Linked DNA regions of Saccharomyces cerevisiae S288C. Changing the gene in region 1 together with any one later gene gives a genetic interaction. Each region holds a gene or a part of one and is shown on either strand. Other genes may lie near its edges. The genes, in order: FOL1 and HOS3.

Region 1 (5,211 bases):
AAGTAAAAGCTCTTCCGGTAGCTTCTCCAACCTTTGGTCCGGAGAAAATACTAATGACTTGAACTGTAGATCAAGCACTTTCAACTCATTAGAATAATATTGAGGATATATAGTGGAGTTTCTTATTGGAAGCCTTTTGCCATCGATCGTTAATAAAGAGGAGGGTTTCTTTCCCTTTCCTGGCAATATAGTATATTCACTCCAATCGGTCGTGCCCCATATATTCGCAAGAACAGCATTAGGGAACCAGCTACCTTTTGTGAGGAAATTAGACAGAATAGCCAGTTGTGTCATTTTTGTAGATATTGGTGTTGTTGGCATTTGGAACTGAAACACCTTCTCCTCTCCTAAAGTCAAAATATCATATTCAGAGATTGAGCAGTTCAGCGTTTCATACAAGGACTCGGTTTCTTTGTCAAATGTTGTGATTAATTGATCTATGGAGGTGGTTGTACTAGAGGCAAATTCAAAAAACTTGGGAGAAAATCTTTTAAACGCCAGCTCATATTCAAGACTATCATGTTGTATACTCATGACATACTTTTTTGTCGCTTCAAAAGCTATTAACCATGATTTCAAATCTAGATAATTTGAAGTTTGAAAGACCAACGTGATATCCTTTGACATGTTATCATGTGCCTCTGTTACTTTATTACCAAATATTTTTACTTCAAAACAAAATTTTCGATCTTCCTCTGGGTCATAGCGCACATTAGTAAGGAAGACACCAAACTTATCAGTTTCCTCCACGTAGGTCTTCGATGGCGACAAAAGGAACATACCAAAAACTGCATTTTTCAGAAAGCACCATCTTCTCACCCATATTTCCCTGGTAGGCTTTCCAACCTGTGTTTTCATATAAAGCCACCCAGACTTTTCGGGCGATTTTGGAGGCACTTGCGTATCCTTTGATAGCAGCTTCGAGGAATGTATTGATCTTATATTGTAATCACTTGTGTCACTTGACGGCGTAATTCGTTTCAAGGTATACCTATATGCTTGCTTTTTTGCATTACTGATATCAGAATCCAATACTTTCGATCCTTCGATGGAATTTTCTACCCATATTGCGTAATTGTCTAAATACTCATTAATGCAAGGAGATAAATCTATTTTCCTTCCAGAATCTTTCGTTATAAAAATGCTTCTTGACTTTAATACTTTCATTGACTCTAGTATGAATTTATCTAAGCTTAATTTTACTGCTGATATGGCACTTATGAGGTCTAGGGAGGCCTTAAGGTAGTTTTTTTGCACTTCAAATAATTGTAAGGCATCACTTTTGATAGAAGATGGCTCTAAACTGGTTTTTGAAATTCTTATAGCCTGGTAGGATGCCAGCATACTGTCATATTTACCTTGGTAAAAATCGAAATTTTTTCTCACGTTTCTGTAGGGTTCAATTGCAGTAGTCATAAGTTCTAATAGCGCGGTTGAGTGGCTAGAGTCATCACCCTTTACAATTTGCAGTAATTTCATAGAAAAGTCATAATAGTCCTTGTTAAAACTATCAATCAGCCTGGGAGTAAACGATTGGTTACTGACAAAACCGTTGCTCAGCAAGGCTGGAGGAGGTAACAATTGGGATAGGAGAGTTTCCTTTGCTCTTCGAAAATCTTCAAATGACACCTTATATTTCTGATCGAAAAAGTCGACAGTCTTCTCTATCCAATCCTCTAATGCATCCACCCTTGTTTGGAAGAAATTTACGGATGCACGAAAGGAAGGAGAGTCAATTGATGCTTCTTTGAATGCAACCGATATTAGCCTTAACTGCCTCTTTTTGGGATCCCTCCCGTGAACGGACATATTTCAAGTAATGATATATCTCTGCAATATGTCAATTGATCAACAGGTCTACTCATGCAGCTATGTTTTAGTTACACCTAGTAGTTTAAAATTTCACGTGTACTTTCCCTGTTTTGAACGCATTAGCAATAGCGCTGGTGTCGTTGCGCAAATTCATAATAAAAGGAAAATTTGAAAAACTTATGATAAATTGCAAGGTCATCGAAAACAGAAGAACAAGGTTTTTTCCTTTAGTAAATGCAAAATTAGTAAAAGTGATAGCGTCTTCTTTGATTAACAAGTTTCAATCTTTGCCTTTGGCTATGTCAAAGCTATTTTCTACTGTCAATTCTGCAAGACATAGTGTACCACTAGGCGGCATGAGAGATTATGTGCACATTAAGAAACTAGAGATGAATACAGTTCTTGGGCCTGATTCCTGGAATCAATTAATGCCTCAGAAATGTCTACTAAGCTTAGATATGGGTACAGATTTTAGTAAATCTGCGGCTACGGATGATTTGAAATATTCTCTAAATTATGCAGTTATTTCTCGTGATTTGACGAATTTCGTCAGCAAAAAAAAGAATTGGGGTTCTGTTTCTAATTTGGCTAAATCTGTGTCTCAATTTGTTATGGACAAATATTCTGGTGTCGAGTGTCTGAATTTAGAAGTGCAGGCGGATACAACGCATATTAGAAGTGACCACATATCTTGTATTATTCAACAAGAAAGAGGGAATCCAGAATCACAGGAATTTGACGTTGTTAGGATATCTGAGTTAAAAATGTTGACTTTGATTGGTGTTTTCACCTTTGAGAGACTTAAGAAACAGTATGTAACTTTGGATATAAAGTTGCCTTGGCCAAAGAAAGCCGAATTGCCACCGCCAGTGCAAAGCATAATTGATAACGTTGTCAAGTTTGTGGAGGAATCAAATTTCAAGACTGTGGAAGCTCTTGTAGAATCTGTGTCAGCTGTTATTGCCCATAACGAGTATTTTCAAAAGTTTCCAGATTCGCCTTTGGTGGTGAAGGTTTTGAAATTAAACGCAATCACAGCCACAGAAGGTGTTGGTGTAAGCTGTATTAGAGAGCCCAGGGAGATTGCGATGGTAAATATTCCATATCTTTCCTCCATACATGAATCGTCTGATATTAAGTTCCAATTGTCTTCATCACAAAACACTCCTATTGAGGGTAAAAATACATGGAAAAGAGCGTTTTTAGCGTTTGGTTCAAACATTGGGGACCGTTTCAAACACATTCAAATGGCGTTGCAATTATTATCAAGGGAAAAAACGGTTAAATTACGGAATATTTCGTCTATTTTTGAAAGTGAACCAATGTATTTCAAAGATCAAACCCCTTTCATGAATGGGTGTGTTGAGGTGGAGACATTACTGACCCCAAGCGAATTATTAAAATTGTGTAAAAAAATTGAATATGAAGAGTTGCAAAGAGTCAAGCATTTTGATAATGGTCCGAGAACAATAGATCTGGATATTGTTATGTTTTTGAATAGCGCCGGAGAAGATATTATAGTAAATGAACCGGATTTGAATATACCGCATCCTAGAATGCTGGAGAGGACTTTCGTTCTTGAGCCGTTATGTGAATTAATATCCCCCGTTCACCTTCATCCTGTGACAGCGGAACCCATTGTAGACCATTTAAAACAGTTATACGACAAACAGCATGATGAAGATACCTTATGGAAATTAGTTCCATTGCCTTATCGTAGTGGTGTGGAGCCTAGATTTTTGAAATTCAAGACCGCTACAAAACTTGACGAATTTACTGGAGAAACAAACAGAATTACTGTTTCACCTACATATATCATGGCTATCTTCAACGCTACACCAGATTCATTTTCCGATGGAGGTGAGCATTTTGCGGACATTGAAAGTCAATTGAATGATATCATTAAATTGTGTAAAGACGCATTATATTTGCATGAGAGCGTCATCATCGACGTTGGAGGGTGTTCTACCAGGCCTAACTCTATTCAGGCGTCTGAGGAAGAAGAAATACGCAGGTCTATCCCATTAATTAAGGCCATTAGAGAAAGCACTGAGTTACCGCAAGATAAAGTCATACTATCCATTGATACTTATCGTTCCAATGTCGCTAAAGAAGCGATTAAAGTTGGAGTGGATATTATTAATGATATTTCGGGAGGTTTATTTGACAGCAACATGTTTGCCGTAATTGCAGAGAACCCAGAAATTTGTTATATTTTATCACACACACGTGGTGATATTTCAACGATGAATAGGCTGGCGCATTACGAAAATTTTGCATTGGGTGATTCTATTCAGCAAGAATTTGTTCATAATACCGACATTCAGCAGCTAGACGACTTGAAAGACAAAACAGTGTTAATCAGGAATGTTGGTCAAGAAATTGGCGAAAGGTATATCAAAGCGATTGATAATGGAGTAAAGCGCTGGCAAATTCTAATCGACCCTGGACTTGGTTTTGCTAAGACCTGGAAGCAAAACTTACAAATTATTAGACATATCCCCATTTTAAAGAACTACTCATTCACCATGAACTCAAACAATTCGCAAGTGTATGTTAACCTCAGAAATATGCCCGTTTTATTGGGTCCATCGCGCAAAAAATTCATTGGACATATCACAAAAGATGTGGATGCGAAGCAAAGAGACTTTGCTACTGGAGCGGTGGTAGCGTCGTGTATTGGTTTCGGCAGCGACATGGTTAGGGTCCATGACGTTAAAAATTGTTCGAAGAGCATTAAATTAGCAGATGCTATTTATAAAGGTTTGGAATAAAGGTTAGTTATATAGATTAAATATGTAATTCTGTTTTGTAATAATTTTTTTTCCTGTTTCATAATAAAGAATCGTTAAAAATAACCAAGGGAGGAAACAAGTGAAATGAAGTATAGAAAAGATATAGAAAATAAACTTAAATATTCAGTTTACTTGTGCTTCTTTTTTCCCCTCTATGAAATATAGCATGATAAGTGATTGTTCCTTTGTTTTTTTCAGTGGATGTTTCACCTAAGCCTTTGGACAATCCTTGGAAATATGGCCAGTTTCGTTACAGTTGTAACAAAGCCTGTCATTTTGACAGTCCCTGGACATGTGGCCAGCTTGACCACAAGTGTAACATTTCAATCCACTAATTCCGTCCTCTTTCATACAGTCCTTAGCCATATGGTTTGGACCACCACATTTATAACATGAAACTTTGGAGAATCTGCTGGTCTTCTTTGGTTCAGGGCATTCTCTGGAGATGTGGCCGGTTTGGTTACAGTTGAAACAACGTTGCACAGTACATTCACTTCTAACGTGACCGGTTTCACCACAATTGTAACATTGCTTGAATTCAACTGTTCTTGGCATGGTACAATCCGTTTGAACGTGACCGGGTTTGTTACAGTTGTAACATAGT
Region 2 (4,681 bases), on another chromosome or scaffold:
ATTCCAATTAGTATGCTTCAACCATTCATCACTGACTTTGCGTGTATATTTCAGGGTGGTGAACCAGTTAAAGAAGAGGAAAGGGAGAAAGTAGATATACATATTCCTCAGGTTTGATGGTCTAAAATTGTAGAAATATAACGTTGCCAGTAAACCTCCATTGATTTAATGATAGAAAGAGGGCGAGATGTATAGAGGCTTCTTTCTTTCAACGATATATTTGTAATAATAAAAAAATGTCAGGCTGATAAAGCTTATAGAGTGACTGTCTTTTTATTCCTCAAATGTTATTTACAATACCATATAATAAAATTAGTATATTGTCAAATAAAATAAGAGAAAAAAACTAACTTCTTGACCAAATGGTCGAAGAGCTGAGATAAAGAAGGAAAAAAATTAAAATTACTAACTATACAAGGAAATATAAAAATAGAAAAATTGTGTTACTAAATACAAAAAAGTAATATATGCGTCACTTCTTTAGTGGGTTCAAGACAACATTATATATGCATTGGTATCACCATCTTCCACCACTTCTTGTTGTATGTTTTCTTGAAACATGAGAAATCATTGATATATCACTATCGTCATAAGTTGGTGTATTTGCGTTTTGAGGCTGTCTTATGCGATGCGGTTTCGTATTGGAGGGAATTTTATACATTCCATTACCTTGTAGACGGCGTTGGTGCGAGTTTTTCCAATTTTTTTCTTTTAGCTCATGGTCTGAATCTTCATCACCTTTTTTTTCAATTTCTAAGGTCTCCAAATGTCTAGAAATATCATCAATGGTAATATCCTCCACCGTGCGATTGAAAGTTTTGTTCAATTCTTCATCGTAAACGTATTCTTCATCTTCATCCTCACTGGAAAATTCTTGTTGCAAAAACGGAATTTGGGTTTCAGCTGCTCTATTATTTGACGAGAGCTGCTTGACCTTGGTATCGCTTCTAATTTCCCTTTGTTCCTGTTTTTCCGTGCTTCTCGGCTTGTTTTCATGAAGTTCTTTTTCTGGGGAAGCGTTGCTTCTATGAGATCTGATTATTCTTTGAGCAATTGTCGACGTGGATGCTGGTTCGACAGTAGCCTTTAGTAGAGAATTAGAAGGTGCGCTGTTAACTGCGTCTTTAAAAATGATATCATCGAATTCCGGTATCATTGCTCGTCCCAGCCTGATAACTTCTTCTGCCCATATTCTTATGACATCTTTTGCTCTTTTTGTCTTATAGGGTTTCCAAGCCGGTTTGCAACCACGAACAATCTCTTTAACGACTTGTTCAGACCCCCATTCTTTAACCCAATCTTGGTTTTGTAAACCGATCAAATGTGCGAAAACACCAGAACATATAGCTTTATCAGAATATCCACCCTCCATTAGAGACAAAACTTTGCCATGACAGTGCATTTGTGCTAATTTCAATGCATCTTTGGTGAACGTTGTATAAAAACTTGTAGGAACGTTGACACTATGCCTTTGCATTGAAGTTTGCTCAAATTCTGATGCATCGAAACCTGCGCTTATGACAACCAAACCTTTGAATGGTCTCCCTTGTTGATTCATTTCTAGTTTTGCGCTCCTGAAAAATTCATCTGCTTTAGCAAATAAAGTTCTATATTTTGTCCTGTATAATACATTGAATTCTTCTTCGGTTGTCCATTTGGATAAGTGAATATTCCAGATGTTTAGGTCATGAGAGTTCATGATACAGGTAGATGCATTTTTAATGTTCTCCTTTGTGGCAAATCCCGACTCTGTTGGAAATGAATTTATATCATGCATAGAAAAATAACCGACTTTGGGAAATTCGGCAAATTTCTTACCAAAATCATCATAAGATGAATCTTCAGGTTCCTCCTCAGGTTTGAAACCCGCACGTTTCCAGCAAATGTCTTGGGTCCCATCACCGTGGTGTAGATCGAAATCAAGCACGACAACATGCGTGACGTTGTAAGTATCATACGCATATTCTATGGCTACATGTGCATTGTTTAACAGACAAAAGCCGGATGGTGTACCATAGTGGCAATGATGACCAGGAGGCCGTATAGCAACAAAAGCTCTGTTACTAATATGTTCTGCAGATGGTCCTTTGAAAATTGAGTCAACACCAGTTTCAATGGCCCCAATTGTTCCCTGTAGAGCTTTAATTGTCTTTGAGCTCAAGTATATATCACCTGAGTTCCAAGTATCTGGGACTTCGATTTCGCCTTTTAGCAATTTAGCATCTGCCATTTGGCAAAGTTCAATTAACTCAGCCGGCCAGCTACTGCCATGAACTTTAAGCACATGAGGTGCCATCAATGAACCTTTCCTTTGATGCGAGGATTTCAAGGTGAAAAGGGATGGATACATTGTAATCGCAGCTGATATACCCATCGAGCTTGCTAATAATCTTTCTGGTCGTTCGACTATAGTTTTCCTATACGATTTTGTTACCCATTCTCTCGGGAACACATGCTGTAAAGAATATGGGGATAGTACTACAACAGCTTTTGCAGATTCCGGTATTTGTGCGGCAGCTCGAGCTGCCGATATGACATTAGGGTTATTTTGAACAAATGCTTGAAATTGCTTATAAAATCTCTCCAATGGATCTGAATGCTTGGAAGACATATTATATCGTCGAATTTCTCTGTTTACTTCCAGAGCCCTTTTTTTCGTTATATTTTCAGTGACTTAAGAAGTATTGGAGAAACTGAACTGATCAACTCCACACGAAAAGAAAGTTTGTAATTTGGAAAAGGACTAGTTTTTCAAAAGAGAAGATCTGATAATAGATCAAGCGATAAAAAAATTAACAAGATCTTATTGTTCAATTCAGAAAAAAACGTAAACAAAAAATAGTTCTTCATGTTTAAAGGAAAGAGTAAAATAGTATTATCCCTTGATTAGTTGTTTACAATTCTTGAAACTTTCCCAAACTGTTGTTTACATTTCTCTAAAACAAAAATAAAAACATGAGCAGGGTAACACTCAAGGGTCCTAAAAAAATTAGGTTTTATTACAGAAATTGTATAGGACATTTTTAATATTACGAGGGTAAATAAATAACAGTCACAGAATAGTATAGGTTATTAAGGGCTTCATGCGGCTATTTTGCCTATATTAATTTCTTTTTTTTTTCTTTTTTCTTTTTTTCCGCTGCTATCGGTAAAAGTTTCCGTTCTTGCTGGAACGAAATGGACAAAACTTAATTGTGATTGAAATTTTTCCAGTCAACAGTTTCGCAATGACGATGCCCAGCCGATTCTTTTCCCTTTAATTGTTATTAAGAAACATGATTATTCATAACTCTTTTCTTGTCGATGGGGGTTGCCTTTCTTTTTCGGTCTTAACTCCATTTATATTTATTTATTCATTTTTATCTATTTAACAGGAAACAGTTTTCTAGTGACAAGAAGGCGTATATCCCACTTAATTCAATATTAGAGTATTCGTATTTGGAATACAGGAAGAGTAAAAATAAGCCAAAAATTCATTACACCTCAATGACTGCCGACAACAATAGTATGCCCCATGGTGCAGTATCTAGTTACGCCAAATTAGTGCAAAACCAAACACCTGAAGACATTTTGGAAGAGTTTCCTGAAATTATTCCATTACAACAAAGACCTAATACCCGATCTAGTGAGACGTCAAATGACGAAAGCGGAGAAACATGTTTTTCTGGTCATGATGAGGAGCAAATTAAGTTAATGAATGAAAATTGTATTGTTTTGGATTGGGACGATAATGCTATTGGTGCCGGTACCAAGAAAGTTTGTCATTTAATGGAAAATATTGAAAAGGGTTTACTACATCGTGCATTCTCCGTCTTTATTTTCAATGAACAAGGTGAATTACTTTTACAACAAAGAGCCACTGAAAAAATAACTTTCCCTGATCTTTGGACTAACACATGCTGCTCTCATCCACTATGTATTGATGACGAATTAGGTTTGAAGGGTAAGCTAGACGATAAGATTAAGGGCGCTATTACTGCGGCGGTGAGAAAACTAGATCATGAATTAGGTATTCCAGAAGATGAAACTAAGACAAGGGGTAAGTTTCACTTTTTAAACAGAATCCATTACATGGCACCAAGCAATGAACCATGGGGTGAACATGAAATTGATTACATCCTATTTTATAAGATCAACGCTAAAGAAAACTTGACTGTCAACCCAAACGTCAATGAAGTTAGAGACTTCAAATGGGTTTCACCAAATGATTTGAAAACTATGTTTGCTGACCCAAGTTACAAGTTTACGCCTTGGTTTAAGATTATTTGCGAGAATTACTTATTCAACTGGTGGGAGCAATTAGATGACCTTTCTGAAGTGGAAAATGACAGGCAAATTCATAGAATGCTATAACAACGCGTCAATAATATAGGCTACATAAAAATCATAATAACTTTGTTATCATAGCAAAATGTGATATAAAACGTTTCATTTCACCTGAAAAATAGTAAAAATAGGCGACAAAAATCCTTAGTAATATGTAAACTTTATTTTCTTTATTTATTTACAGAACTCTGAATATACATTGATTGTTCACATTTTTTTTTTCTCTTCTCAATTTCCCTTGATTATATTCAAAAGGTTATTGGCCTCTTGAATGTTTCCCACTGATGGTCGACGTGCCCTTCTAGAGGTCAATGGTTTATAAATTGGTCTCTTATTGAAAAATTCTCTGGTCTTG

The links.
Region 2: of FOL1 (region 1) and HOS3, extra expression of one is lethal in a mutant of the other (dosage lethality), as found in Saccharomyces cerevisiae (one study listed by BioGRID).

What each region holds. Positions count from the first base shown.
Region 1 is NC_001146.8:162,512-167,722, forward strand, and holds FOL1 (trifunctional dihydropteroate synthetase/dihydrohydroxymethylpterin pyrophosphokinase/dihydroneopterin aldolase FOL1), read left to right. Parts: upstream 1-2,111; coding exon 2,112-4,586; downstream 4,587-5,211. Other genes in the region: SIP3 (Sip3p), read right to left, coding at 1-1,809; mRNA-binding translational activator GIS2, read right to left, coding at 4,818-5,211.
Region 2 is NC_001148.4:327,536-332,216, reverse strand, and holds HOS3 (histone deacetylase), read right to left. Parts: upstream 2,612-4,681; coding exon 518-2,611; downstream 1-517. Other genes in the region: GTPase-activating protein BEM3, read left to right, coding at 1-117; isopentenyl-diphosphate delta-isomerase IDI1, read left to right, coding at 3,487-4,353; mitochondrial 37S ribosomal protein bS1m MRP51, read right to left, coding at 4,555-4,681. UniProt on the Saccharomyces cerevisiae protein: Responsible for the deacetylation of lysine residues on the N-terminal part of the core histones (H2A, H2B, H3 and H4).